Struthio camelus: one gene and its partners. The protein of the gene in region 1 purifies or fractionates together with the protein of each later gene. This does not show direct contact. Links are inferred from orthologs where the notes say so. Each region holds a gene or a part of one and is shown in the gene's direction. Other genes may lie near its edges.

Region 1 (6,954 bases):
CACAGCACTGTCATTTGGCCAACCTCCTAATGCAAATCACAGTCCCTCTCTGGGTCATGGTTCCCAGTGGAGTGATCTTGCTGTCCTTTGCAATACAAAGCTTGAGAGTCACTGGTGCTCTTAGGCCACTAAGGCAATAGTCTGTGATTACCGCGGGCAGTTTGCAGCTCTACCTGGCTGAGGTAGAGTGCCATGTTTGCATCTAAAGGGTATGCTGCATTTCCCCAGTGAGGGAACAACAAAACACAGCTCTCAAGCCACCAAAAGACACCTGAAGTCGAACTCTTGCTGCATGTGTAGCAGCTATGGTCAGATAAAAATGCCGTTAAGTTAGGTGTCACACCCTCAGGGAGGACACAGTTCTGGGGACGTCTGAAGGACACTCTCAAGCAGATCTAGCTCTGGTCTATGAAAGAACTGGTGGAAAGGGGCACAGTTGGAACCAAACTGTGCCTAAAAACCTGGCGCAATGCCCACGCAAGCTGTAAAAGCTGTGATACAACCTAAGGAAACCATCAGGATTGCCATATCCTATGTCCAGACCGGACTTGCACCTCTTGTCTTTTCTTGGATACTTCTGAGCTTCTGGGTACCAGAAGTTTTTTGTAAAGTTCCTATTCCCAGGGGCATTTCCTAGCCTCTTCTGCACTTATGATATCAGATGGGTTGCTTATCTTCTTCCACTTCCTTACTGTATTTCCCTGTCTCCCTCCATCCATCTGCCAGTGCTCTGACTCTGGTTCGCTGCTGCTTCTCTTTGCTACTTACTCTCCTACCTTTATTACAATTAATTAAAAACATTTACTTACATTCACTTTTCTTACCTTTGAAAATGACAGGATTTTATTTTTTTGTTTTAGACATTTAGGCCCCCTCTGTTTTGATAACGTCAGTGAATCTTACCCTGCTCTTTTCTCGGAAGGGGTTCCCTCCAGATATCTCATTGTAAAGAAATGCGTTTTCCGTGGAAAGCGTACCAGAGCGCATGGACGTTGCCCTGTATAGGGACGTGGGCTTGTCTTCCCTCCTGCAGTTCAAAGTTTGAAAGAGCAAAAGTCAGCATTCTCCTGCTGGTCATCTGCATTTACTGCCTGCTCTCTGTCAGTGTAGTGTCACTAATGTCCTGCTACTTCTGGCTTGCTTTATTTTCCACTCGCTACTTGCCAGTTTTCCAAAGGAGACTGATATCTGAAAAGATCATCTACTAATGCTTGAAGCGCAAAGAGAACTCGAGCTGTGTGGCAACGCATTACAGAGACTTAAGAACAGAAAGTACCTGCTGAAAATGGGGGAGGCTTCTCTACCTGATGAACAGTCAGGGCAAGAAAAGTACCCCTATAGGGCAGCTGTTCAAAGCCATCATTCACTCGTAAACCGAGGACTGCCTTTCACCTCTGAGACCGACGTACCCGGAACGGGGAGTCTAAACGTCAGGCTTTTCTAGCTTAGCCGCACGGCCCGTTTTATGTCTTTCAGAATTTACTTCCAAAATGAGAGAACAGCACGCTCCCCATGAGTGTATCAGTGGATCTAAACAAATCTCTTGTGGTCAAGCCTGCACACACCTAAATGGTTTTCTTCAACAACGTCGTGTTTGCTGTGTGGTCTCTGCCATCCCTCTTTCCTTCATCGCCCCTGTCCCTGGCATTGCACAAACTGGGCTAAAAATACCATGTTCTCAGCTGCCAAAGCACTTAAACCTCTGTGCATGCTTCTTCTCTTCTCTTTCTCCCTCTTTTTTTTTCCCCCAGATTATCTATCTGTCTTGTGTTGACTGTGTATAAAATCACAGTGTAGGATGTACTTTTAGCAGCTTACGTGTTTTTTAACTTAGAGCTATTCTCTCCACGCCATGACAAAGCAGAACAGGCAGGAATGGGTTGCAGGGCCTCCTGCCTGCCCCATGATTCAGCAGGTTGTAAAAGGAAGCGGTGCCGTCTTTTTTGGGAGAGGGTGGCGGGAGAGAGAAAGGGGAGGCATGTGTGACGGGCGTGTGGGGGTATATCTGACTTCCTGGTGCTTGAGCTGATCAGAGCAACAGCCTAGCATGGTGTTATCCTGCAAGTCACAGTTAAGTAACTCACAGGCATGAATAACCTGTTTCAAAAGAGGGATATTTGAAGGATATTTGGTGGGAAGTTGGATTTTGCCTAGACTGGGGAGGGAGCTTGCTAAATTATACGTCTTTGTTACCCTTTAAAGTATTCCTCTGTGGTGTTTTTAGTTTGCTATTTTAAGGTGCTTGGTATCTCACATGCTGTTACGTTGTTTGTGGCTGCTTCTCTGCTTGTCTGCCTTGCATCTTCTGTGCAGGTTCTGGGTGTCAGTCAGTCTACAGGGAGGTTTAGGAGCCAGGTTAGTGGCTTTCCAGAAAAATGTGAGCGTTTAATTCCAAACTTCAGTGTAAACAGGGATTTGCTGAGTTCGTTTATGCTGAGCCTTATTTCTAAACGCTGGGTCCCTGCTTGCTTTGTCCTAACGTGGTGGAAATTTCTCTGTGGGGAGACTTATGTTGCTGACTCATTGTGTCAACTCAAAACAGATTTATGTTTACAAAAAAAATCCCTCTTCTTTCTTTCTCCTTCCCACCCCTCTTAGCAATATTGAATTTGGTATTCTTACAGAATACCTAGTATCTGCTGGAACAGGCTGTAGTCCGCAGGCCATACATGAGCTTGCTTTAAACCGGGGAGTTTAGATTACAGCTTTCCATTTAACTGTACTCATGTGAAACAGTTTAGATATACCTTAAAGTGGTATTACTGATAGGATAGCATGAGTCTGCTTTCCTCATCTTAGGTCCTTGTTCATCCCTATCTTACACCGCCATGGGTACGGGGAGCAGGAGGCAAGGGAACTCTTGAACGTTCCTCTTGTTCTCTCAGTTACTTGCAAACCGGTTACCCGCCTCATGCCTTCCCTTCCTATTCCAAACAATTGGGACAGAATTTCCTCATTTCCCTGGGCTTCTAGAGTCATTGAGACATACAGATGTTTAGCATTTACACGGCATTTCACTTATACAGAAACAGATTGTCAATTTAGGCAACACAGCATTGCTTAAAACTTCTGGTATTACGCAAGGCCTTCACAGAGGAGGCTGCCTGAAAGGTACTTCATGTTTTAAATAGGTTGGAGTATATGTTACATTTAGTGGTTTTCTTAAAACCGCAGCTTGCAATTGAGCAAAAAAAAATAGACACTTTTTAAAACAGAAAACCCTAGTCAGTATAGTACAAAGAATAAACTTTAAAAGCCCTGCCAAGAGGTTAAAGAAATAGAAGACAAAGATGAAACCGGTGTTTAATTTGATGGAGCCCGAGCACCGGGACAGGCAGCGGCCCAGGGCCTCCCCGCAGGGACGCAGCACGGGGCTCTGCGGTGAGGCGCCCCGGCAGGCCCGGCTGTACCAGCAGACACAGCGCTCCTCCGCGGCGAGGGTTGAGCCAAACCCCGCGGGCGAGGGGAGCGTTTTGGGCCGGGGAGGCGGCAAGGCGAGAACCCTGCTCAGCCCCCTGCCCTGCTGCCCCGGGCCAGGCAGTCCCTGCGGCACGGGGCCGTGGCCAGGACCCACGGCGGAGGAGGTGCGAGGGAGCGGGCTACGACTGGCAGAGCCGGGCCTGGGCGACGGCGGACGCTCTCGGACGCCTTTCTCCCACCTCCCCCGCCATTGCCCTTTTAAGCCCCGCAGCGCCCAGGGACAAGGAATCCGTTGGGTCTCCACCCACATATCAACGGCCTCCCTACAGCTAGCCAATCGCTGCGCACTTCCTGCAACCCGGCCGACCAATAAAAGCGCTCCACGAGGGGAAGCGCCGTTGGGGCGTGTTTTGAGGCGGGCGGACCGCTGAGCGGCGGCGCCCTCAGCCAATCGGAGAGCTGGACGGGCGGTGGGGCGGGCGGGCGGGCGCGCTGCCGGGCAATGGGGGAGCCGGGGCGGGGCGCGGCGGGGGCGGGGCTGGCGCGCGGTAGATAGGCGGGCGGCGGCGGCGGCGCTGAGCCCGCAGGCACGTGACGGAGGTGAAGGCAGAGGAGGGGACGGGAGGTCCGCGGGAGAGGCCGGGGGCGCGCGGGGCTGCGGCGGTTGGCGCTGTCGGGGGGCGCGCGTGGCGCGGTGAGGTGAGTGCGAGCTCGCGCCTCGCGGGCTGCCCTCCCCTTCCCCCCCCCCCTCGCCCTTCCCGCTAGAGACGGGGCAGCTCCGTGACTGGGGGGGGGGGGGGAAGGGGAGAGCGGGCCCGCTCGCGGGGCATGCCGGGGTATTGGCGGGGTGTGGGGAAGCCGGGCCGCCCTGAGGGAGGTGGCGGGGCAGGCAGAGCCCGCCTTGGTGGGGGGAGGGGGATGCTGGGCCTAGGATGTAGTAGGCGGCGGGGGGGCCTGCGGTGGGGCCGGGGGGGGCAGCCGGGGACCCCGAGAGCCGAAGCGGGGGCGCTGGGGGAGCCCGTGCGGCTCGGGGTGGGCTCTGGGTGGCTGCAGGCCGCGGGCAGGCCTGGCTGGGAGCAGCGGGTCTTCTGGTAGCTTCTGGGCTGGGAGGCGGGTAGGGGCTGGGCAGGGCCTGTGGCACGGCCGCAGCCGGGCAGCGGTGATGTGACTCTTCGCTGCTCCCCTACCGGGGGGGGGGGGGACGACGACGTACAGAGGCATGGTTTGGAAGAGGGAGTAAGGAGGGGGGGGTGGAGATGGATGGGCTGGCATGTGGTTTGGGTTTTATCTAGCTTGTGGCGTTAATGTCGGCAATGACAAGAGGGAAATAGTCTTCAACTACCTGGAAATGCCAAAACGCTGAGGTTAAATAGGTGGCTCTGCAGCGCTGGGGGTGGGGGTCGGTATAGACCATAGTGTGTGGCATGATTCGTGCTGGGGGAGAGGAAGTAGAAGCCTCTGGAAAGGGGGAGATGAAGGTGAAGAACTAGAGGCCCAAAAAGTGGCAAAGGCATGGTAGGTGCAAAGGCGTGAGTGAGGCCAAAGGTGAACTACAGAAGAGAAGACTTTTTAACAGCAAAGACTGAAGATTTTGAGGGTTTGAAATGCATACTTTGGCTTAGCTGCTGAATATTGTTTCTGTGTTGGGTGTGTAGCGTGCATGACTGAGGTCTTAGTTCTTGTTTATCACTCAGATTGTGTACTTTCAAAAAAAAAAACCCCTCACCTTTGAATTAAAGTGAGTGTCGTCTACTGCTTTCTTGTCTGTCCTGCTTCTAAAGAATGAACTTTCATATTTGGCTTTGTGTTTGAGAACTTTCTAGGCTATAGAACGAGAGAGGCTGCAGGTGACTTGATTGTGGAGGGAACCAGCTATGTAAATAGGGGAAGTATAACAGAGTATAAGACAATACGGTAAATAAGATATGTTACTCAATCTAGACACTGCAACTGAAATGACTTCAGAGACTCCTTTCCAAAGCCTACTGTTGGTTTGGTCATGCTACATAAGTTTATCCAAAATAGTAAACAAAACTAGAAGCAACTGGAAGAACCTTTGAGTTAAATGTAGTGTTTGCCCTAAGTTTCAATATTTCTAGTTCAAAAAAAATCCAGAAAGATGAGGAGTTATGAAGGGAATGCTAATATGCTACACATCCTACATTACGAGCCGAGTACAAGATGTACATTGTTTCTTGGCATCTAATGCCTTCCTAAGAAGGGAAACCTAATGCAGAGTACTAAGAAAGCTTACCACTTCCGTTAAAGTACCCTTTTATTTGATGTGTCCCAGCACTTCCTCTAAATAAATGAATAAATCCTTTACTAAGACTACATTAAAACTTGTATTTAGTCCTTCCTTTTGCTTCATTACTAGGGGCAGAAAAATTAAAGGTGAGAAAAGGATCATGACCATACCCTGTTCTCTCTGGAATTCATTCTGTTGCAGAGCAAACGTGAATTCATTCCTAGGCATGACAGTCTGAAAAGTCTTGAGGCATCTCCAGATCTCCCCCCACCTACCATAATTCCCCTAACAGCCCATCTGTTTTATGGTCCAAAAACCTTGCAGTTCTGTCTCTGTCCTCCAAGGACTTCCAGTTCTGCATGAATGATCTGCTTGCTGACAAAGGGTACGTGGTATTTTCTCCTTTACTATGTCTGCGCTGATGTATGTTATTTTTAGAAACTGACATGTTTGAAGTGCTTATTAAAATAAGCATTGTTGCTGTCACCTTTCATAGCTAATCTCTTACCTGGTTTATGCTCCTTACAATCCAAACAGAAGGCAGTTATTTCTGTGGAGCTATCCTTCTCTGTAGCAGAAGGTTTAGGTAATCCTCTCTAGGAGGAGACTATCATAAAGTCTTATGTAGCAGTGTATCTTAACCACCCCCTCCTGAAAAAGGACCCCTCACACAGCGCTCCAGCCTCTGGCTTGTTATAAGCAAGGCAGTTTTAGTTTAGCCTTGTTTGTTCACTGAGTTGCCATGTTAAAGGCAAAACCTTCCCAACTCTGAAAATGTCTGACTGCAGAGCTAAGCGTTTAAGGGAAAATATTTGTCTTGTCTGCATCATATGAGTTGCTGCATATATGAACATAATTTTTATTATGTCCCCGCTAGAGGAGCGGACAGGTAACTTACTGGTTTCTGGAGTGGTGGAACTTGGCCACAAAATTGGTTGTTTGGCTTGGCTGGAAATCTCCCAAGTCTGCCTGAAGACAGCTGTGTCTTTGAGAAGTGAAGAAGATAGAAATGCATGTGAACTACAACAGTAAGCTGACAGTGCTCCCAAGAGCTTAGTTTCCTTTATCCATGGCTGCTTACTATCTTAGTGCCATCGCTTGTCCTGCTACAACTCTTTGTACCTTTGTATGCTGGTTTGGACTAGGAGATTGATTGAGAGTTTAAAGTCACACAGCAGGAAAAACTTGTAACTGTCCTAAAACAGGTATTAGTCCACTATGTGGCTGTGTAAACAGTTACCCTGGCACAGCTGAGTGGCCAGGTTGTGCACAGTGAAGGGTGAGGG
Region 2 (6,832 bases), on another chromosome or scaffold:
GTGTATTAGTCTTTTGTGGTGTTTGGATGATTTAAAACAGCCATCAGCTCTAAATACTTGTTGTCCGTTTTGTTCAGTTCTAAGTGATTGCTCTGTGTTGCTGATCACAGAGCAGCAGATCTCTAGACTAGACAGGAAGAAATGTTTGTGCACCCACCCACAGCACTGGGCTGTGTGAAAGTCCTTGAGAAGTGTTAATGCCCTATCGGCCGACTTATGCAATGTCAGTGTGGGCGGTGGTTTATTTAAACAAAATTACGGTGCAGCATAATTCTCACCATGGCTGCTGATGCAGCTAAGTGTCCTAGCAGTTGCACAGAGCGATTCTGCCTTACCAGTTGGCAGCGTGGAAAATGCACGAGTATGAAGCAGTATCATGAAGTATGGAACTAATGAAATTTAGTGTCTTGTTAATTTATGGGTTTTTTTTTTTTTCTTTACATCCTTATGGAAACAGGTTTGAAAGTCCTTTTTGGATGCTGACAGACATAAAACTGCATAATCTTCACTTTTTGGTGGAAGAAAGGAGGCCAAAGAAAATGCCTTAATCTCCCTGGTTAAATTAAGATATCTGTGTCATGCAGGGAGCTATAATAATTCAAGTATGACTTAACTGGATTATCAAGCTCTCTTAACTCCTTTAACATTTAATTTTATAGTTACTTACTCTGGCTGTGCAATGGGTGTGCTAGCATGTCATGATTTGCTTTGTGCCTGTTTCATGAATGTAAAACTACTTTCTTCACTGGTAGCATGCCTCAACACTGCTCCCTGCTGCCTTGTTTTTGCACTGAACCATACACTAAAGATAGCTGTATGAATACTGGGTATAATAGTGGGTATAATTCAGATTCTTTAAGCTGCCTTGCTAAGAGCTGTGTGTTGCAGATTAGATGAAGAGCAAATCAATGAATAGTGTTAAAGGAGAAGTAACGTGTGAAAGCCTAAGACCGCTCCGTGCTTTGGGACTTCTGTTCTAAAAATGACTTTAGAATGACGTATCTCGCTAAACCTTAAACCTTTTAAAAGTAATATATTGCTTTAGCACTACAGATGATGAAAGTTGAAGTATGCCTTGGTTGAATATCAGGGATTTCTTTTACATGTCATTTAAATGACAAACACAGAATGGCACTTAAAGGGGGTGCACACATACTCTTTTAAAAGAAGGGAGGTAAAACATTTTATTTTTATTTCCAGCAGAGTGGAAGGTGGGTAAGTAGACCTTTGTGCCCAGATTAGTGCCTTTTAATTACAACTTTGCAGGTTTTATTCTGTTAAAGGTGACAGCTATTATTGTGATCATTTTGAAGTGCTTCAATAAAAGTGTTGTTGAAAAAATGTTCTTTTGCATATTCATCTATAGTAGCACAGCTGTTTTTATGCCCTGTTAGACATATCATCACCAAATTGTGGGAAACATTGTTACTCTCAAGCGAAACCAAAAATATCTATGCTAAAATCTAATTCTATAGATCATCTGTAAGAGGAGTGAACATGCTGACTCTCTCAAGCGCTCTTCTAGGAATTAAGAGACTAGGTGGTATTGGTTTTGTACAGGCGGGCATATACACTCAAGTAACGAATTTAGGAACTATTTCCTGATTGAATTAGGAAATTTTACATTTTAAGCTGGTACTCTCATAAAATGGTGATCTAGAATATACTCATGAATGAGGCTAAGATTAATTTTAAAATGTCCCTCCCTCTCCTTTAGCCTACAGCTCAAGGGAGTAGTTGGGAATGCTGCTGTTTGAATGCTACATGGGCAGCTTTGTTTATACAGCTCTTCCTCATGTTTTTATGTATTTCCTCTTTTTAAAAAAAAAAAAGAACAAACGTTGAACTGTTAGGCATGGCGGTCAGGGAAAAGTACCATTTGTTTGTCACGTTGTAAATGGGTCTGTTCATTACCTTGAAATTGCATGTCTTTGAGGAAAAAGTCAAAAGCTGTTGCAGAGTGGTTGCTGGGACGGTATGTGCTCTGTGTTAGAAGAGTGGTTTCTATGGAAACCAGCAAACTGTAAGTACATAACTTCATTTTGACAGAGTGGCCATAAGCCTTGTACTCAGCAGGGGACAACTTTCTGGATGGTTGTTCTGTGAAACTCTACCCTTTCTGGTTACTGCGTTTGCCAGCTCTTCTCATTTATGCTACTTCCTAAAACCCCCAGCTGCCTTGGGATTTGTTCTTCGTTCACTTCCACAATCACATAACGTATTAGTTCATGACATCTTTGGCACTGCGGTAGTCACACTTACTCTACTTTTTTTTCCATCTTGCTACTCATGACTATTTTGGTTGTGTAACTTGAATTCCCACACTGATGATCGATCTCCCTCCTTGTCCTCACGTTCCAAATCCTCCTCTCAGCTACCTTGTTTTCTCTTTGCCTTTTTTCTCTGTAAGACAAGGAAGAAAGCTTGTCCTGATGTTAGAACAAAGCATTATTCCTGAGTTATAGTCCTACCTTTGCCATAATTCACAGTGTGATTGGGATATTCCACTTTTTCTCTCTGCACCAGGAAGAAGGGAGGGGGAAAAGATGTCTTTTATATGAAAGCTCAGGTGAAAGAAGAGCGCTTTGTGTGTATAATGATTTTTTGAACAACTTTTTTGTTTCTCAGTCTCAGGACTTCACCTTATTGACTGAGAGTTGCCCAGTTTCAGGCAGCAAGGCGGCTATTTCTGTCAATTAGACGTGCACCGTTTTTGGCCTCGCCTTTGCTGAGTGCCATGCAGTGACAGACCTGACTTCTTGTGACAGCTAAAGGCTCGCGGCCCTTGCGTGCTGCACTAAAAGAGCCCCCTCTCAGGTTGCCGGTGTGGGGACTGTGCCAGTAAACACTAACGCTAGACAAGGAGCAGCTTTGGCACCGCTTCTCTCCATGTTTCAGCGTGTGACCCCGTAGTAACTGGATGTTTCTCCTAGCGACTTTAAAGCCTCCCAGGACTTTCACAGGCTGGCAGGGGAAAAGCATAATCTTACCGCCACGCTTGAAGGAAAAAGCTCACTACTCGTGGGGGGCTTTGTCCAGAAGACGTGACATTCCTTTGAAGGCAGGCAGCTGCCACCAGTGACACCACTTATTTCCTTTCTTTAAAGGAAAAAAGAAAAAGCCAGTAAAAGTAACCACGATTCCTCTCTGGGATTCCCCCTCAGCAGAGGGATTTGTGTTGTGAACTAAGCACTGGCGCGTAACAATCTCCTCCCTTTGGAGGCCAGCAGACTTTGCGCTCCGCGCTGCTGATAACCTCTCCTGCCCGCCGTGACTCCAGCGGTGGCGCCAGCCGCCTCTCCCCGACGGCAGCGGCCTCCCGCGACGGCGCAGCCCCCCTCAGGCCGCTCGGCTTTGCCGCTTTGCGGGCGGCCCCCGGCGAAGAGCAGCGCCGCCGCGTCTTCCCTACAGGGGGCTGCCGCTTTTGGTCTAAAGCGTGCGCCTTTTCCTTAGAAACCAAGGCGGGCGGCGGGGGAGGCTCTTCGCCCTTCCCCCTGTGTAGCCGCCGCCGCCGCCGCGGGCGGTGCGTGGCCGTTAACGGCCGCTCTGAGGGCGGGGCGGGCCCGGCGGCCAGGCCCCGCCCCCTTGGGCCTCGGGGCGGGGCCTCGCCTCGCTCGCGGCCGGCGCGCCACGACATCCCGGGGCGGCACCGCCTCGCCCCGCGGCCCTTTAAGGCGGGCGGCGCCTCTCTGTCTCCCTTTGACTGACGTGGCGTAGCGCCCAATGAGCGGCGAGCGCTCCCGCCGGCCGGAGGAGCCGGCCAATGGGAGCCGCGCCCCGCCGCCCGTGTTTCTCTTCCGCTGTTAAAGGCGAGGCGGACGGAGCTGGGGCGGCCGTGGGGAGGCCGCCGCCGCGGCGCCTTTAAACGATGGTGGCGGGGGGCGGCGGCGGCGGGCGACCATGCAATGGCGGTCGCTGGTGCTGGGGCTGCTGCTGCTGAGGCTGGGGCTGCACGCGCTGCTCTGGCTGGCGCCGGGGCTCTGCCTGCGCCCGCGCTTCGCCTTCCCCTTCGCCGCGCCCCGCCCGCCCTGCTTGGGGGCGCCGGGCGGCGGCGGCGCGCACTGGGGCTCGCTGCGCGGCGGCGGCGGCGGCGGCGGGGCGGCGGCGGCGGGCGGGGGGGATGAGTACGAGGCGCGCTACAGCGGTGCCTTCCCGCCGCAGCTGCGGGCGCGGCTGCGCGACGCCGCCCGCCGCATGTTCGCCTTCGGCTACGACAGCTACATGCGGCACGCCTTCCCCCGCGACGAGCTCGACCCGCTGCACTGCCGCGGCCGCGGGCCCGACCGCCGCGACCCGTGAGTGACCACCCCCCCCCCTTCCTCCGCCGGGCGTCGGGGGGGGATCGGTCCCCTCAGGGGTCGGGGGGTGGTTGGGGGCTCCCCTGAGGGGACTGGGGGGGGGGGTAGGGGGGGTCCCCTGAGGGGGCTTGGGGGGGGATGGTCTCCTCAGGGGTCGGGGGGTGGTTGGGGGGTCCCCTGAGGGGACTTGGGGGGGGATAGAGGGGTCCCCTGAGGGGGCTTGGGGGGGATCGGTCTCCTCAGGGGTCAGGGGGTGGTTGGGGGCTCCCCTGAGGGGACTGGGGGGGGGATAGAGGGGTCCTCTGAGGGGGCTTGGGGGGGGATCGGACTCCTCAGGGGTCGGGGGGTGGTTGGGGGGTCCTCTGAGGGGATTGGGGGGGATAGAGGGGTCCCCTGAAGGGGCTTGGGGGGGGATCGGTCCCCTCAGGGGTCAGGGGGTGGTTGGGGGGGTCCTCTGAGGGGGCTTGGGGGGGGATAGAGGGGTCCCCTGAGGGGGCTTGGGGGGGGATCGGTCTCCTCAGGGGTCAGGGGGTGGTTGGGGGGTCCTCTGAGGAGACTGGGGGGGGATAGAGGGGTCCCCTGAAGGGGCTTGGGGGGGGCATCGGTCTCCTCAGGGGACTGAGGGGGGGGTAGGGGCTCCCCTGGGGGGACTTGGGGAGGGATCGGGTCGCTGAGGGGGGACTTGGAGAGGGGTCGGCCCTCTCAGGACTGGGGGGGGTAGGGGGGGTCCCATGAGAGGACTGGGGGGGCAGATAGATCCCCTCAGGGGAATGAGGGGGGGGTAGGGGGTCCCCTGAGGAGACTGGGAAGGGGGTCGGTCTCCTCAAGGGATGGGGTGGGGGGATAAGGGGGGGGTCCCCTGAGGGGACTGGGTGGGGGGGGTTCAGGCCCCTGAGGGAACTGAGGGGGATCGGTCTTGTTAGGGGACTGGGGAGGGTTGTGGGGTCCCCTAGGGGCACTGGGGAGGGGATCAGTCTCCTCAGGGGACAGGGGGGTGGTTTGGGGGGGGGCCTGAGGGGACTGGGGGGGGTCAGTCTCCTCAGGGGGGTGGGGGGGGACTGGGGTGACTGCTGAGGGGAGTGGGGAGGGGTGGGAGGTTTTGCTGAGGGGACTGGGGGGGGAATCGGTCTTCTCAGGGGACTGAGGGGGGATGGGGGGTTCCCTGAGGGGACTGGGGGGGGTGAGAGGTCCCTTGAGGGGACTCAGGAGGGGGGTGGGAGGTTGATTTCCTCAGGGGACTGGGGAGGGGAAGGGAGGGCTCCTCTGAGGGGCCTGGGGGGTTGGGGGGATCCCTGAGGGAGAAGGGTCTTCTCAGGGCCTGGCATGGGGGGGAGGAAGGGGAGGGTCTCCCTAGGGCCCGGCCCAGGTACCCTGGCTGCTGCCCTCTGCCCCTGTGGTGAGAGGGTGCGAAATCTGATGGGTTTTTGTTCTGCTGGAATGCAGAACTTGGGGTTCTTTGACAGCCAGGGTTAGGTAACAAATTTCTCAGGTTCCTCTGCCCTTTTTTAAATGTCTTTGAGTAACTTTACCTTTTTGATACAGCTGAACAGCTATGAATTGAGTTGAGCTATGAACGGCTGCAGTCAAATCCCTTTTCTAGTAAATCCTTTCTCCCCTGTTCTAATAAATGAACACAACATACCCAGCCAGTGTGGGACGCAGGGCCAGGACCCATGGTTCATGAGGGACTGCCACTGCCCTGTGTTTAACAAGGCAGGATCGTGCCCTGCTACTCGGTGCCATGCTGCGTAGCATCCTGGGAGAGGGGCCTTCAACTAGAAATGCCCCCGAGATGGGGGTTAGATAGACAGGATACAAATTTATATCCCCCCTTGAGCCAAATAAGGGTTTGGGCTGACTTCTGCTTCCTGGGCAACTTCCTATCCGTAAGATATTATAAAAAGCAGTTGTTGCCCCAGCCTTCGTTCTATATTTTGAGAGTATGGTGCTCACTTTTTCTTAGAGAATAATGGTAGATATCTGTACTGGAGAAGCAGGGTCTGGAGATGTCTCTTGCAGCCCTAAATTAAAGGTGTCCCTTGCTTTCTGTTTCTTGTTTGCCATGCTGAGCCATAGCTCAGCATGCAGGTTTCCTGAATCGCCCTTCCGAGGTGTGTTATTGTGTAGTCTTGTGTGTTTTTTTGTTGTTGTTGTTTTTTTTTTTTTTGGCCAGCTACCCAGAAGGGCCCTTATACCCATGCTGAAAGCGGAGTAGCTGAAACTTAAGGGGTCACGGCCTTGTTTTTTCTTATTAGCTTTTGGCCTTTCTGTGAGTTGAAAAATTTACATTTGAGACTGAAGAAAACAAGACGGATGTGTTGCTCGCCTTTCAGATAGCGTGACAGTTTTCTTGGAGTTCTATTTATCCTAATATGGAGTCTCTAACTTTTTTTTTTCCCAGTTCAAATCTGAATATCAATGATGTCCTGGGAAACTACTCACTAACTCTGATTGACGCACTGGATACCCTAGCGGTGAGTTCTCAAAATATCTGTATGTTTTATTCCCATATTTGCGTTGGGAGATAATGGAAG
Region 3 (6,928 bases), on another chromosome or scaffold:
CAAGCTCCAGGGGTGGAGGAAGAGAAGGTGGGGGAAACGCCATGACATTGGCAGGAGCCAAGGCCATGACACCCCTGGACATGTGGGCTTTGCTACCCATCAAAACAGATCGGACAGACAGCAGTGTGCAGCCACTGGGAAACTGCAGCCAAGTAAATATCCCAATGACACAGAAGCTGCAGTAGCTTCTCCAACCAACCAGTTCCTACTCCTCAGGGATACGGCAGTCCCTGAGGCACGTGAATGATCGCCCCTTGCTAAGGTTATTAGCCAGGCAACCAGGAGGGACTGCTGCACTGCAGGGACACTCAGCTACAGCCTCCCAGCTGCAGCTGACAAACCCCAGTTTAAACAGTTGACCCATGGGATAGATGTTACCTCTTAACGTGTGCACTGGACACAACAAAACCTGGTTTGGGACTCTTAGATATGCCTGTTAAATTTGTAATAAAACCTGTACCTTCAAGGCAAGATACAGACACAGACTGACACTGCATCCACAACACTGCCTGGTCATGCTGGTAATTTCTGTATATTAAAAAAATGAACCAAAAATAGGCCGAAGACTCTCAAACCACGGCCTACAGACCACTGGTGCTCCACCAACCACTTAGTGGTGTTCTGTGACACTGGGCCCCTCCTTATTGCTAGTTGTTTGGACTGAAAGATTGCTAGACAGAGTGAAAGTGTGCAGAACTTCAGTGTGCTTTTAAAGCAAAACTCTAGTAGGTATACACCACCACTTAAATAAATCAACTGTACCTACCAAGTAATTTAATGTGCAAAATATACTTCAGATATTTTCAAAGAAATAATATACTAAAATATTTATTTTAATGATTACTTAAGAAGTCTGAATTTTTCAATAATATGGTATGCAATTAATCATAAAAATGAAAGGTATCTTACAAACTGTTTTGCTATTTTTGCTGATATCTCTGCACACATCACTTCGACAGTTCTCCTGGGATGGTATACTCTACAACACAGGAATTTATTTCTTACAGCATTCACAGAAAAGGAACATACGCTACACACAAATTGAAAGGCGTCATTACCAAATTACAGGCTTTCTTGTTTTCTAAACATAACCCAAGTATAAAATACACATTAAAAAAAAGGAAAATGAAATGGTATTTTAATAAAGTTAAGCTAATTAAACTCACCGAAAATATTTTAATTCTGGTATTTTTCAGTTATTATATTGGTTCAACAACACACAAGTACTTGGAGAAGGACGAGTCAAGGACTTGTATCCAAATCTTGTAACAAAGAACCAAGCTGTCTCATAAACATATAAAAATGTAGCTAAAACACAATAGCAAATCCAGAAGTATCAAATAAATCAGTAAGAATGCACAACATTTCATAATCCTGTCCCCCGTGTCACATTTCCTCATCCATCTTCCACGAGATGCAAGGATGTGGATAACCAGAACATGCCATCTGGGCTAGTACTAACAAACCAAGCCTAACAATGACTAGCATACTTCCTAGCTGCCTGAACAACCCATGAAAATCAGGAGTTTCTTGAGCTCCTTCATGCAAAACATGTTCACTCTCACAGATGTCATGTATACCATAATATGGAGACACTGCAATAAACATTTTGACATCATCTGCAATTGCAACTGCTGGCTCAGATACCTCAAGCACTTCTTCTGACATCTTTAGTACTTTAGAAGTGTTAGAAAATAACAAATGGCCCTCACACGCATCTGTATGCTCCAAAAGAAGTCCAGAAAGCAGTCAAATAATTCAGTAAGCTTTCCAGCAGTTTGGGGGATTTTTCTTGCCAACATCCTGTAGCACAGCACAGCCAGCCACTGTCAATGTGACACACCAGCGTTTGAGCTCAATGTAGCAGTGCCTGAAGCATCTCTTTGCTAAACATTTTCATTTACACCTCACAGTCTCAGCAAAACATAGCAGTGAGAATGAGGGCTATTTTTGTCACTACCTGCTTGCAGTATACTATAGTATATTTTTACTCATCATTTTTATATTCTGGCAAAACGTGGTTTTTTCCTGAAATACAGGAGCATGGAAGGAGACTTTGGCTAACTGCCATTTTTCTCCCCTCAGTACTTAAATTTCTTACATTTTTGGCAGATCGCTGTCCCTTCTGCATTTGCCTTTATTTTGTGTTGCATACTTTTTAAAAAGGTTGGTTTTATAGCAGTTTCTTTCCTTATTTCTGGCAGTATTAATACTACATACTAATCTAACATGCAACATATGTACTCTGCCTTCTTTATCTTTCAATCAGAAAGCTCTCTCTTTTCCACTTCATTTGTTGTGCTCACCTTTGATGAAGCTGCTTTGAACAGCAGCCTATCATTTCAATTTCATTTTCTAACACCACTAAAACAGTTTTAAAATTATAGTTGTAGCAGCATTAAAAGCTTCTGCTAGTGCAGCTACATTGAGAGACTACATCCTGAAGAACTGCACTGGCCAATTTGAACATACATTTGAATCGCAGAAGCCCTGTTTTTTTATTTTTTCAGCACAACTAATAATAAAGCAGAAGAAGAGCTATAAAATGATTATCAGCTTGCAGCACCACTTTAGTTAATCATACCAAAATAAGAACTGACAGAGGCTCAAGCAGTGGGTCACTCATAAAGGCACAGTCTGCCTCTGTGAACTGTAGAGTCCATAGATTACATTTCCCTTGAGATTTTACCTTCAAATAAGTGTTTAATACCACTTTTTTTTTTGCCAGTACATCTCCCAAGAATGTATTTTAAAGCGTGTTTAAGGAACGTTAACAGCGTGTGTCAATCAGCAGCAAGTACTGCCCAAGCAACTTAAGTGTTCCACTTTTTAGTCTTCTCCTAGAGTGTAACAGCACGATACGCATGAAGTGTAACGCCCAAGCCATTCATCTGCTCATTAACCTTCCTTACTTTCGCAATTAATTATTGGTTGGCCGATTATCCACTAAAAGCTCTACCACGCCACAGCTCTTCCAGGTGCCTACGGCGCTCTGACTAGGGAGCACCGCTGCAGCGTGTCGGCCTGTCGGCGTGCCCCACCGAAGCGCGGGGACACGCGGCCTCTCAGCGGGCTCCTCGCCTCGCGTGGCCGTGGCCGCAGGGCTGGACGCGGCTGCGGCCTGGCTCATCGCCGCTCCTGGGAAGCGGTTGCTGCCAGGTGGCAACTGGAAGATGCAGCGCAGCATCCACTTCACAGCGGTGACTAGAGCCAAGAGAAGCGAGGAGGAACTGCAGCAGCAGCAGCAGCTGGAGCCGGAGGAAGGAGGACGCCTGAAAAAGAAACGATCCGGCTTTTTAACGACAAAGCGGCAAGCGAAACCGGTGCCCAGGTCCGGTGTGAAAGTTAAGCGCCCGCCAGCTCGGAGAGGCGCGGTGCCCGCCGCCAGCCCGCCCGGCAGCGCCGCCCTGCCCTCCGCAGCCAGGGGAACGCGCCGCCCCGAAGTCACGCGTGTCCGCGCACAGCCCGCCATGCGGCACAGCCGCCTGCCCGCGGCGGCCCCTCCGCCCTGGGGACGCCCCCCGACCCCCGGGGACGCCCCAGACATGGCGGCCTCCCCCCCCCCGCCCCAAAGGCGGGAAACCGCCTTTCACAGGCAGCCGCCGCCGACCCCCGGCAACCAGGAGCCGGAGCGCGAATAAAAACGCCACCAAATAAGGTGATGAAGGTTGGCACGAAGTCGGGGGAGAGGGGGGAGACGACAAGAAGGAGAAAAGCCCTCCTGGAAAGCTGCCCGGCGGAGCGCCCCCCGTCCCCCCCCCGCGGAGGTATTCGCGGCTCGGCCGGCGGCGCGACGCTCCTGAGGGAGCGCGGGCGGCGGCGGCGGCGGCGGGCCCGGCCCGGCCCCCCTCGCCCAGGCAGAGCCCTTCCCTCTTCCCCTCCCGCCCGAGGTTTGACGGCAACGGACAGGAATGTATTCTGTATTATGTATTTCCGGGGCGGGGTAAAAGCAGGCTGAGCGCGGAGCCTCTTCCCCGTCCCCCCGCCCCCGCCCCCGCCGGGCTCCCCGCGAGCACCTCTGAGGCGAGCGCAGCGGCGCCGGCGCCGGAGCGGCCCGGGGCGGACGGGCCGACACACGGACGGGGAGCCCAGCCGCGCCGCGCCCAGCCCGCGCTCCCGGGACAGAGGAGGCGCCTCAGTCGGGCGCGCCGGAGCGCGCCCCCTGTCCCGAGCCAGCAGCGCCGCGGCCATGGCCGAGGTAGCGGGAGGACGAGGCGGGGATCGGAGCGGGCGAAGCGGTGCCGGCGGGGGCGGGGGGGGGGAGACGCTCCTCACGGTGCGGGGAGTCGCCGCCGGCGCCGGTGCCCCGCCGCGGGGGGGAGGCAGCAGCCCGCCCGCCTGCTGCGACCAGGCGGGAAGGTGCCGGGCCCGGCCGCGGCTTCCTGTCGCGGTGGGACGGCGGCGGCCGGGCCGCGCCTTTGTGCGCGCCGCCGGCTTGCGCGGCGACCAGCGGAGAGCGGCCGCGGCCGCAGCGGCAGGGCGGGCGGCGGGCGGGGAGCCGAAGTTTTCGGCGAGCGCGGGGCGCGGCGGGCGCCCTGCGGCCCTGCGGAGCGAGGCGAGGCGAGGCGAGGGGGCTGGCGCGGCGGCCGCGCAGCGGTCAGGGCTGGCGTCAGGAAATAAGGAATAAGAGCGCGAAGAGTGCCTCCGTGCGGGAATTCACCACCCGCCTGTCTCTAGAGTCCCTGGCCTGAACGTGGCTATTACAGTCGGCCGTTGAGAGCAGGCTTCTGTGCCGTGGGGACGGCTGCGCGGTCGCGGTGCAGCCACTGGACTGCTCGACTCGCCTGCCGTTGAAGCTGGTGCGTTTTTGCTCTAAGCTGGCAGTGAGCCTTTACAGCTGGCTGTTAGCTTACTTGAGGATGAAAGTGGGGTTATGGGAACGTAAGGCCGCTTTATACGGTCTGGTTCTGCTGATGGTTTCGGGAGTAGTTTACAGCAATGCAAAAGCAATGTTTGGTCTAACATGCGAGATGTCTAATATGTTATCTTCATACGCACGATGTTTGGAAGGAAACATAAAGTGACAGAAAATTCTTTTCTGACTCACTGCTTAGGTCGTGTTTTGACCCAATGTTAGATTTCTTTATCTGATGGAATGAATGTCAGACTGCTGATTAAACTTGGAGAATATTTTTCATTCTGGGGAGAAAAAAAAACCCAGCCTGTTTTGTTTTGGGTTTTTTTTTTTTTTCGGATTTGCCCTTGGTATAACACAGCAGTCCATTCATGCCAACATATGTGCCTGTACTTCTCAGGTGCAAATGGTGATTTTTCTGTTAGATTTGCCCTTGCTGTATTGCTACAGTCCTGTTCCTGCCAACACACATATATCTTTAGGAGCAAGGATTCAGATCAGTGAAACCACGCATGGCTGGTGCTGAGCATGTACTTAAGCATTGAAGTGGAGTAGGACTTTGCATATATGCAAATAGATTTAGATAATCTGTGCTTCTGGTACGTTTGTCATTCAGTAAGTGATGGTGGTAGCCTAAGCAAATCAGTTTGCAACTATGACATGAGATGACTTGGTAGCAACTTTTTTTTTTTTAAGAAATAATTTGCTACTAGAAATATGTAAATTAGAGTAAATTAAACTAGATTTCCAGAGTAGTGAAGACATTCTAGCAGAGGCGCAAAGTTCACAACCACCCTCATGAGGAAGCTGATGATACATTCTCCTGTCATAAAAAATATTACTTGCCTCTAGCAAGTGATTACATAGCATTTTGCAAGCTTACCTAAGGCTGCTTTATAAAGATTGCAAAAACAGTGAGCCGCTGGCAATATGTAGGCAAGATGAGGCAAGTTTATGATGAAGATGCCTTAAACTTTTGTCCTTTTCAAATATGCGTAGTAAAGTGAAAGGTGCAAACTTGACAACCGTGGAGAATAGAATCCCATCTTTATCAAATTTAGAGTTGATTAGTGCCATAGCTATTTGCCAGCCATATAATAAATAAACCAGTTCTATTTTAAAATAAAACTTGAACAGCTAAAAAACTGCTATTCTTTTTGTTGCTGCTGTGGATTTTCTGTATGCAGCCAGGGAGATCAGTCTGCTGTTTTGTTTTGTTTTTTTAAAACTTTTGATAATCTGATCTACATAATCCTAGGGCCTAGGTGGGCCTAATTTTGCCCACCTTTATGAAAAACTGATGCAGAAGAATGCAAGTTTCTCTAGCATATTCCTGAATTTCTGGTACAAGGGCATAATTTTAGTGTTTGTCTTGTCTAGTTCTAAATGACTCAAGTGGGTTAATCTTCCACCACTTCCTTTGGGAGGTGATTCCCACAGCTGAATACAAACTGTCCGGAAGCTTTTCCTGCTGTTCTTTCTTCCCGATTCATGATTTCATCCCTCTGCTCTTCACCATCCCCCCCTATACTTTTCTTAGCGTACATCTGTAGTGATGCAGATGTAAAAAAGAGTGCAGTGCTATAGCAAGCAGCTGAGGCAGTAGATAACTTAGGTAGCAAAAAGGCAAGCTCAGAGGGAGCAGTGCAAGCACAGGGTTGATGCATGCTGTATTTTGGGCTGACGTGAACATGATTCCCTTACTGCTTTTGGTATGAATGGTCTTCAGTTGTTTGTAAATAGCTGTTGTGCCTGCCTTTCCGGCAGTCTTGATTTAGTCAACTGAAGTGATGCATGTTTAGCTCTTAAGTCTTCTCCAAGAAGGCAGTTCTTCCAGCACTGTGCTCAGCCTGTTACAGACTTCCTGGCTGCCAATACCTCTTGGTAACGTGGCCTTTAGAAATAGTTCTGTTGAAATATCTGCTCTGTGATGAGACCCTTTCTGTAAATCATGAAAGACTGTCCTTTTGAGCATACTCTTCTTCTGTTTTTTCTTTCTCTCTTTCAAACAGACAGACAGGTTCCCTGATATTCCTCTTCTCCCTGCAGGTCTGAGCTCCTTCAGGAAAGGCA
Region 4 (7,335 bases), on another chromosome or scaffold:
CCTGGTAAAAACTATTTCCACTGCAAATTCAGGAACAGGTTTAACTTTTCCCCCAAGAGAGAGTTGCCCTGTACGTCCTTACAGTAAGGCATGTTTTTTTCTTATCACTTTGCCATTTACACTTGAATTATGCTTAAAAAGATATTTCTAATAAGAAAGGTAGAGTTATTAAAAAGCCATATATTTTGTCTCAGTTCTCTAAATTAATCCAGAATGTGGAAAAGCATTGAGTGATTCTAGAAAGTATAGTTACACTATGCCTTAATGATTAGGAACTGCTTCCCTTACTTATAGGAATGTGCTTTCTAGTTTCTCTTGCCTTTCAGAAAGGGAATGTTATTTTCATTTTCAAGCGTACCGTGCATCCAGACTGAGTTAATATTTTATATAGGACTTTTACATTTCCTTTAGATAGGAAGATTTCCATATCAACTCAGTTTAAGGCAAGGGCAGGCCTGTAGCACTTCATTAAATGTCTTTGTCATTAATGAATTTACAGTTTTCACAATTTTACCATGTATTATGAGACAAAGATTAAACATGAATGCAAATTATAAAGGTATATTTCCTGATGGCGTAAATGTTATCCAAAAACTCTACTAAACTCAGGATAATCTTTAAACACACAGACATAGAAAATTAACATTTATATTGTAGCGCAACATAAACAAGGTCTCATTTTTACGTGTGGCATTAGAGGTTAAGAATTGTAAAGCTGGCAAAACTCTAAGCTAAAAATCTGAGATAATTTAGAAGGGCTTCAGTGTTTTCATATCAAAGTCTGCATGACTGAAAATCTCTTTCTCACACTCAGGAAAGCTAAAAAATTCCAGACATTTGGGAGGGTCCTACATAGGAAGTATTTTTGGCTTTTGCTTTCAGCATATTTCACATTTTTAGGCAAGCTTACAGTAATTTTTCAACCACTGAAAATGGCCATAGTCTTGTACTTCCAATTTTCACTTTTTTCCTAAACCTTTTTGTCACCTGCATTTATACTGACAGGAGGTAACACTTGACTACAGGTTTCTCAGGTAGAAGCAGGTGTTTCAGCCCTTGAAAAGCAGAATTTGAGGTAAGGCATACACATTTCATTTAAAGTACTGGAATGCTTCACAAAGCGATATAGTTTTCTATTTCAACCTTTAACATGCAAAACAGCTAAACGGCGTACAGATCGCTTAGGGTTTCTTTTTTTTTTCTTGTAAGAACATTAGAAAGATCTTTTGAGCTCGTTCCTAATGAACTCATTCCCTTTTTCCTTCTGGCTGCTATCTTATGCTGCAAAATTTAAGCTTTCTTTCATTCAAACAAAACAAACAAGAAAAATGCAGATCCTCAAATGTACTGAGCTCTAACTGTGGGTATAGCTGCAGGTTTGCAGTTTCCAGTGTTAATCATAACGTAGGTACACGTTTTGATTACCTCTCCTAGTTCTTCCCCTTTCTTTACCTTGTCTGGAGAATGCCTGTTGCTCCCAAGGAGCAAAAATGAAAAGTGTAGAACTGTGTATGCCAACTTGATACTATACAGGATGTAAAGGACAGTTTTTTGACAGGTTTTTCTATGGACCCTGCTTCACAGAAATCTACTGGCCTGCAATAAGGTAATATTAAAAGCGTAATATAACATAACTTTCCATGAGGAGGAAACAAGTGCTCATCTCCCATTTAGCTCATGTAACTTGGGAAGCAGCTAACAGAAAGCTGGTAAGAGTCCAGTGTCCAAGCAAGGGAGTTACGCCAACTGACGTTTAACAGTATAACTGAGAAAATCATTCATGACAAATAATACATATTTCTATGGTTGAGGAAATAACTTTTGAAACAGAAACGGAATATAAATATGAACTGTAAGTAACGTTAACCTGAAGTTCCACAATCACTAGTACTGGATTTTGAGCAATTAGCCAAAGCATATGATGCTGAGTTTCTGCTGGCTTTGTTCTTCTAAGCCAGCTTTGCCTGACTCCAGGAGGACAAAAAGACAGACCCAACGTAAAGCCAGTTAACCCACCTAGTTATTTTGAACAAATCTGAACTGGCGGTGTAACTTTGTAGTGATTTACTGCTCCATTATCATCTCATTGTTGCATTTTTTATGCTACACTAAATGCATTAAAAGCAGACTAACCATCAAAATACTTAGACTGAAGGGTGAGCACTGACCTGAAGATCAACGTTTTTCATTCCTCCCACTGCTGAGGGTCACTCGTAATGAAAGGAGCATCAACTGCAGTGCATATTCTGAACTTTACAAGGAGTTGCAAACTGCGGCTGAATTCCACTAAGAAGCAGCAGCAGCAGAAAACAAGCTTCAAGCCTAAAGTGTAGAATGCTCTGTTGTCTGTGGGGTTATTAGATGGAACCCGCATCAAATTTTTTGATTGCATTTTCACTGCTAACTTTGGTTTAAAATTTCCCAGATCCAGTTTTCCCTTACACTGCTTGAAAACGTTTGTGACTCAACGCCAATGGAGTTTCTTGTTTTAAGATAGCATGATAGCTGAAGAATCTCTCACATAATGCCTGTCTGAAGCATGCTCCATGTTAGTCTGCAACTGGCTTGTTATCTGAATCAAATCCTGAAACAAATGATCTACACTTTAAATTACTACTGTCAGATTTGGAGAGGAATTCAACTTTCACTAGGCATTTCCAGAACACTTCTTATGTGATACCCATGTTGCAGGAAAAACATTGGGTAAGGTATGCTGAAAAATAAATTGGACCATCTAATTTATTCCATTTGGGCTTAAAAATAAGTGATAGTAGTCAAATCACAGTGGAGTAGCAGCATTTGCTCAGGGTAGGCTCTTAATGGAAGAAAAATATTTCTACCCACAGTTCAGACTCATTGTCTAACAAACTGAGCAGATAAAGTGTATAGAACAGTAAGAACTGAATAGTTTCTTCATTTTAGATATATATTATTAGGAATGCAGACAATGACCACAGCGTATCATTACTTGCAGTGGGGGTAAAATTAAAGTCCCCAAGCTAAGCTTCTCCCTTGTATTAATTGCTTTCTTATACTACACTAATTAATCAGTAGCATCAGACTTTTTGTGGGTGGGTGCCGGATTTGCCTGCAAATTCTCTTTTACCAAAACGGCCCTCAGCAGCTTCATCTAGCCAAGACGGTAGCGATGGCTGGGTAAACACAAATGACAGCCTCTGTTGTCATTGATCGAACAAACCAAAAGCAGGACGTTCTTTTTCTCAACAACAGTTTAAAACCATTCTCTTCTGGCGACGTAAAGGAGTGGATGCAACCAGTACTCACCTGGTTTCACATCTATGTTTTATGGGCAAATTAAAATAGATTCACATTTCAGTTCTTCTTAGCTGTGAAACTACAGTATGGTTCCCACAAACATAGGATGTACGTTCAGATCTAAATATTAAACTTCTCACCATACAATTTATTCAAGATTTATAGCAGTGTATATTCCCAGCAAGCACTATGTAAATACAGAAAGATTTAACTCACTTGTCCTAAAGACTTTGCAGTCTTACGATTCAGTCCTACCACTTCCTCAGCGGGGAGAGACTATTGTGAATTTTTTGAAACCAGCTCGATGCAGTGACTACACCCGCCTTTTAACTTTTCCAATACGTTAGAAGGGATTCCAGCATCTTTGAACATAAAATTTATCACAGCTGCCGCAGTTATACTAGGAGACGAGCTAGCGCTTTCCTGGTTGGGTTTCTTCTCTAGGCTGGCAGCGCGTTAAGTGGAAGTGAAGCACTTCGCTACCGGTAACAGAAAGTTCGGCTACTGTGGGAGAAGACGCTTTAAATGTATTTGCGAGGCATTCGCTTGAGCACACTGAAGACCAGCACGTGACAAACGCTGCAAGTCGATCACGCCGGGGAAGCCGGTGCCCGAGGAGCCGCGGCGGCGACGCAGCCCGCGGCACTCCCGCAACAGGTTGTAGGCGGGCGCGCCAGGCCCTCCTTACCCCCGCGGAAGGGCGCAGGGCCGGGCCCGAGGCACCACCCGCGCGGGGTGCGCTCACCCCTTGCGCGGCAAGGGAAAACACCCCGCCGCCGCCGCCGCCTCACCGCCACGAGGCGGACCCTCGCTGTGGAGGAGTGGGGGGAACGGACGGAGCGGGAGCGGGACGGCGGCGGCCCCTCCCCCCCCGCGGCAGCGCTGCCTCGCGCGCCTCTCCCGCCTGAGACGAATTTAAACTGCGTTACTATCCCTCGCGCAAAGCACTAACGCCGATGGAACCCGCGCGCCGCTGCCTTTTTCCGCCCGGCAGCCAATAACAGGGCCGTTTCGTTCCCCTCCCCGCCAATCGGGGCGCGCCTTGTTGCCGGCTGGGAGAAGCGCTCGGTGCGCGCGCCCGCCGCGGAGCTGGGTCGCTGGCGCGGGGCAGGCGAGTCCTTCCCCCTCCCCTCCCCGCCCCCTCCCGCTCTGCCCGCGCTTTGTTGGTGCCTCTCCCGGGCGGGCGGCAGCCGGCGGCGATGCCCGAGTTCCTGGCGGACCCGTCGGTGCTGACCAAGGAGAAGCTGAAGAGCGAGCTGATCGCTAACAATGTGAGCCTGCCGGGCGGCGAGCAGCGCAAGGACGTCTATGTGCAGCTCTACCTGCAGCACCTCACCGCCCGCAACCCGCCGCCCGCCGCCGCGCAGCCCGACTTCTCCAGCGACGAGGAGCGGGAGCCCACGCCCGTCGGCGCCCGGAGCCGGGGTGCCGCCGTCGGCCGGGTGAGCGCAGCCTGCCCCCCCCCCACCGCGCTGCCTGGGCTTCCCGGCGGCCCCGGCCCGGTTTCCCGCCCGAACGGGCCCGCCCGCCCCTGCCGGTCCCCGCGGCTCGGGGGCTGCCGTGCGGCGCCCGGGCTGCCCGCACGCCTTCCCGCCGGGGCGGCTGCGGCGAGGCGAGGCCCGGCCGAGGGCGCGATCGCGCCCCTGGCGTGAGGGAGCGGGGTCGGGGCGCGCTGCTAGGCGGCCGCCCCGTACCGGCGGGTTTCTTCCCGGTGTGACCGCTAACTGGGACCCGCGGTGCCCGGCAGCCCGCCGGCTTTGCCCCCGGGTCGCGTCCCGCGTGTGCGCCTCTCGGTAGCGGCGGCTGCGGCGCGGCCCCCGCTGCGGCGGCCGCGGAGCGCGGCTGAACGCGGGAGCCGCCGCGGCCGCCGGGAGTGCGGGACGTGAGATCCCCGGGCTGTAAACTTGGGACGTCTCGACTTCGATTTGACTGGCGGTCTCGTTGCGAAAGTGCTCAAGTGTTGGAGAAACAAAGCAAGAGAAAGTGTGCACGAGGCTTCGTCTCAGGAACATTAGACAGGAGCCTCCTATAAATTCAGTTGCACTGAAACAACCCTGATCTGAATGTCCCCTCTCGGATGGGAGGATGAAACTGTGGTGGAACAGCTTCTTTGTTTTGCTTAATGGAGTGGACTCTTTTAGTGTAAAGAGTGTCTGCTTAATATAGTTGGCTTTCTCATACCTCTGAGCACGTGTTTCATAGCAAAATGCCTCTGCTGCAAGGATTCAGCTGATTAACTGTTACTTGCTCTCCTAGACTTTATACCAGCATGTGTGCAAGGAAAAAGGTGTAGCTGTAGCTCAGGACACTTAAACTTTTTCTATGTTCGATAATATGATTTTTTTATTGTTATTTTAGTAAGTGCCTTGTAAATTTATGTATACTTTAAAAAGCAATCTTTTCATAATCTGAAGCTGAACACACTGACTCATCTTGCGTAAAGGTTTCTGCGGTGTTTGCCGGTTACTAGAGTTGTAATTCGTATAAAAAAAACTCGTGTCTGCAAAAAATAATCTTTCAAAGTTTATCTGTAAAGAGGCTGCAGAGGACCAGACTTTTTCGAAGGTTTTTTGTACTTACAGCATATACAAATCTGAACAACTAACAGTTCTTAGTTTAAGAAACTGAAAATTGTAACTGAAAGAGGAAGAGATTTTTAGTTAAATTGCTTACCTCTTTTTAATATGTGCCTAATTCAAATACTGAATTGATGTTCACTGTAGAACACTTAACCGTGGACTAGGCGCTTCTCCAGTTCAGTGATCTGCCTGTAGCATTTTAAGGTGCTTTCAAGTAGAAGAGAATGACCTTGAATTTGAGTTGTAAGAGGAGGGAAGTCTCAACTTCTGAAGTCCCAAGACCTGATTTTTTTCCCTCTCCTTTCTCCAGTCCTTTCACTTAAACAATTATGGATGACTATTTTATTGTTTACAGAATGGGTGGTACTCTTGCACTTTGGTTAATAATGTCTGCAAGGCTCTGTGCTAGTTATGCTAGTCTTCCTGTGTGTTAACTTCCGAGCAGTGCACCTTGATGCAAAACTTCAGAGAATATTGTAGTGGCAACAGTTGGAATTTGGTGGGTTCTGCTTCTTTTGCACCCCTCCCCTCCCTGATAGCTCAGTTGATGCATAGTACAACTTAGGCAGTTCTGAACCTACTTGTAGCTTGATTAGCTGTTGTGCTGCTTTGATTTGCTGTCCTTCCAATAGAATAACATACAGGCCTCCAGAGTGATATGTCTCCAAAATGTTTGGAAGGGAGAAAAGGAGTGAAGAAGGTCTGATGTGTAGAGGAGTGGAGTTCTGGTATGGAGGCAAAATGAAAGAAGCTGGTATGAGTGATTACTTTCCCTCCTGTTGCTTTTTAAATCTATGTAAGAGAGGAAACTGGGAATATAGGGAAAAGGGAGGAAACTGAGGCTTGTACTCCTCTGGATAACTTCATTTTTTTTATTTCAAGTATTTGTTTTATGCATTTTTGTAAAAGACCAGAAAACAGTTTTCAGTGGGTGCATATGGAAATGCAACTGCGTTGTCACCTGTGTAAGTATAACAGCATTGCTTTTTTATTTTTTTGTTAGGCTAGGATATGAGTAACAAAATTGCAATGCTTTATTAGCTCCATTTTTATGTATGTTACAGGTCTGGAAAAATGACAGTACTGACTTACGTATATTGAAAGGAAAATGCAACCAGTTGTTCTAAATCTGTAGACAATCAGCTATTTAATGTAATCAAGCATTTTGATGTTTTAGAAACACATTACAAAAATATTCTGTGGGATTTTTTTAATTGGTCTGCTCTATTCTGTGGTTCCCATATTGCTCTTAAATTTGAGTGCTGTTTAATTTGAAAATTGCAAGAGGTTTTTTCAATCAAGGATGACTCAATCGAAGCTAGTATTAACTTGTAAATGCCTTTGAAAGAGCACTTGTGTAGTTTTCTGTTTCAGAGGGTTCTGGCCCACTGCGCTTTCTGTGATTCCTGATTTTTGGTGTTCCTTTGGACATAGCTTAACTTTGTGCATTCATTCTGTATCTGTGAGTCTTGCTGCTGAA

Evidence for each region.
Region 2: the proteins of CANX (region 1) and EDEM1 purify together in Homo sapiens (affinity purification with western blotting; 6 studies listed by BioGRID and IntAct, with this or other methods). This does not show direct contact. The link is inferred for Struthio camelus from reciprocal best matches to the Homo sapiens genes CANX and EDEM1.
Region 3: the proteins of CANX (region 1) and ITGB1 purify together in Homo sapiens (affinity purification with mass spectrometry; 3 studies listed by BioGRID and IntAct, with this or other methods). This does not show direct contact. The link is inferred for Struthio camelus from reciprocal best matches to the Homo sapiens genes CANX and ITGB1.
Region 4: the proteins of CANX (region 1) and TMPO purify together in Homo sapiens (affinity purification with mass spectrometry; 3 studies listed by BioGRID and IntAct, with this or other methods). This does not show direct contact. The link is inferred for Struthio camelus from reciprocal best matches to the Homo sapiens genes CANX and TMPO.

Annotation. Positions count from the first base shown.
Region 1 is NC_090954.1:6,908,266-6,915,219, forward strand, and holds the start of CANX (calnexin), read left to right. Parts: upstream 1-3,938; 5' UTR 3,939-4,020; exon of another isoform or gene 4,021-4,119; intron 4,120-5,797; exon of another isoform or gene 5,798-6,053; intron 6,054-6,545; exon of another isoform or gene 6,546-6,696; intron 6,697-6,954. UniProt on the Homo sapiens protein: Calcium-binding protein that interacts with newly synthesized monoglucosylated glycoproteins in the endoplasmic reticulum. It may act in assisting protein assembly and/or in the retention within the ER of unassembled protein subunits.
Region 2 is NC_090955.1:2,469,816-2,476,647, reverse strand, and holds the start of EDEM1 (ER degradation-enhancing alpha-mannosidase-like protein 1), read left to right. Parts: upstream 1-3,809; 5' UTR 3,810-3,900; coding exon 3,901-4,295; intron 4,296-6,699; coding exon 6,700-6,772; intron 6,773-6,832. UniProt on the Homo sapiens protein: Extracts misfolded glycoproteins, but not glycoproteins undergoing productive folding, from the calnexin cycle.
Region 3 is NC_090943.1:16,831,231-16,838,158, forward strand, and holds the start of ITGB1 (integrin beta-1), read left to right. Parts: upstream 1-3,927; 5' UTR 3,928-4,189; coding exon 4,190-4,198; intron 4,199-6,928.
Region 4 is NC_090942.1:53,314,933-53,322,267, forward strand, and holds the start of TMPO (thymopoietin), read left to right. Parts: upstream 1-4,310; 5' UTR 4,311-4,475; coding exon 4,476-4,718; intron 4,719-7,335. UniProt on the Homo sapiens protein: May help direct the assembly of the nuclear lamina and thereby help maintain the structural organization of the nuclear envelope. Possible receptor for attachment of lamin filaments to the inner nuclear membrane.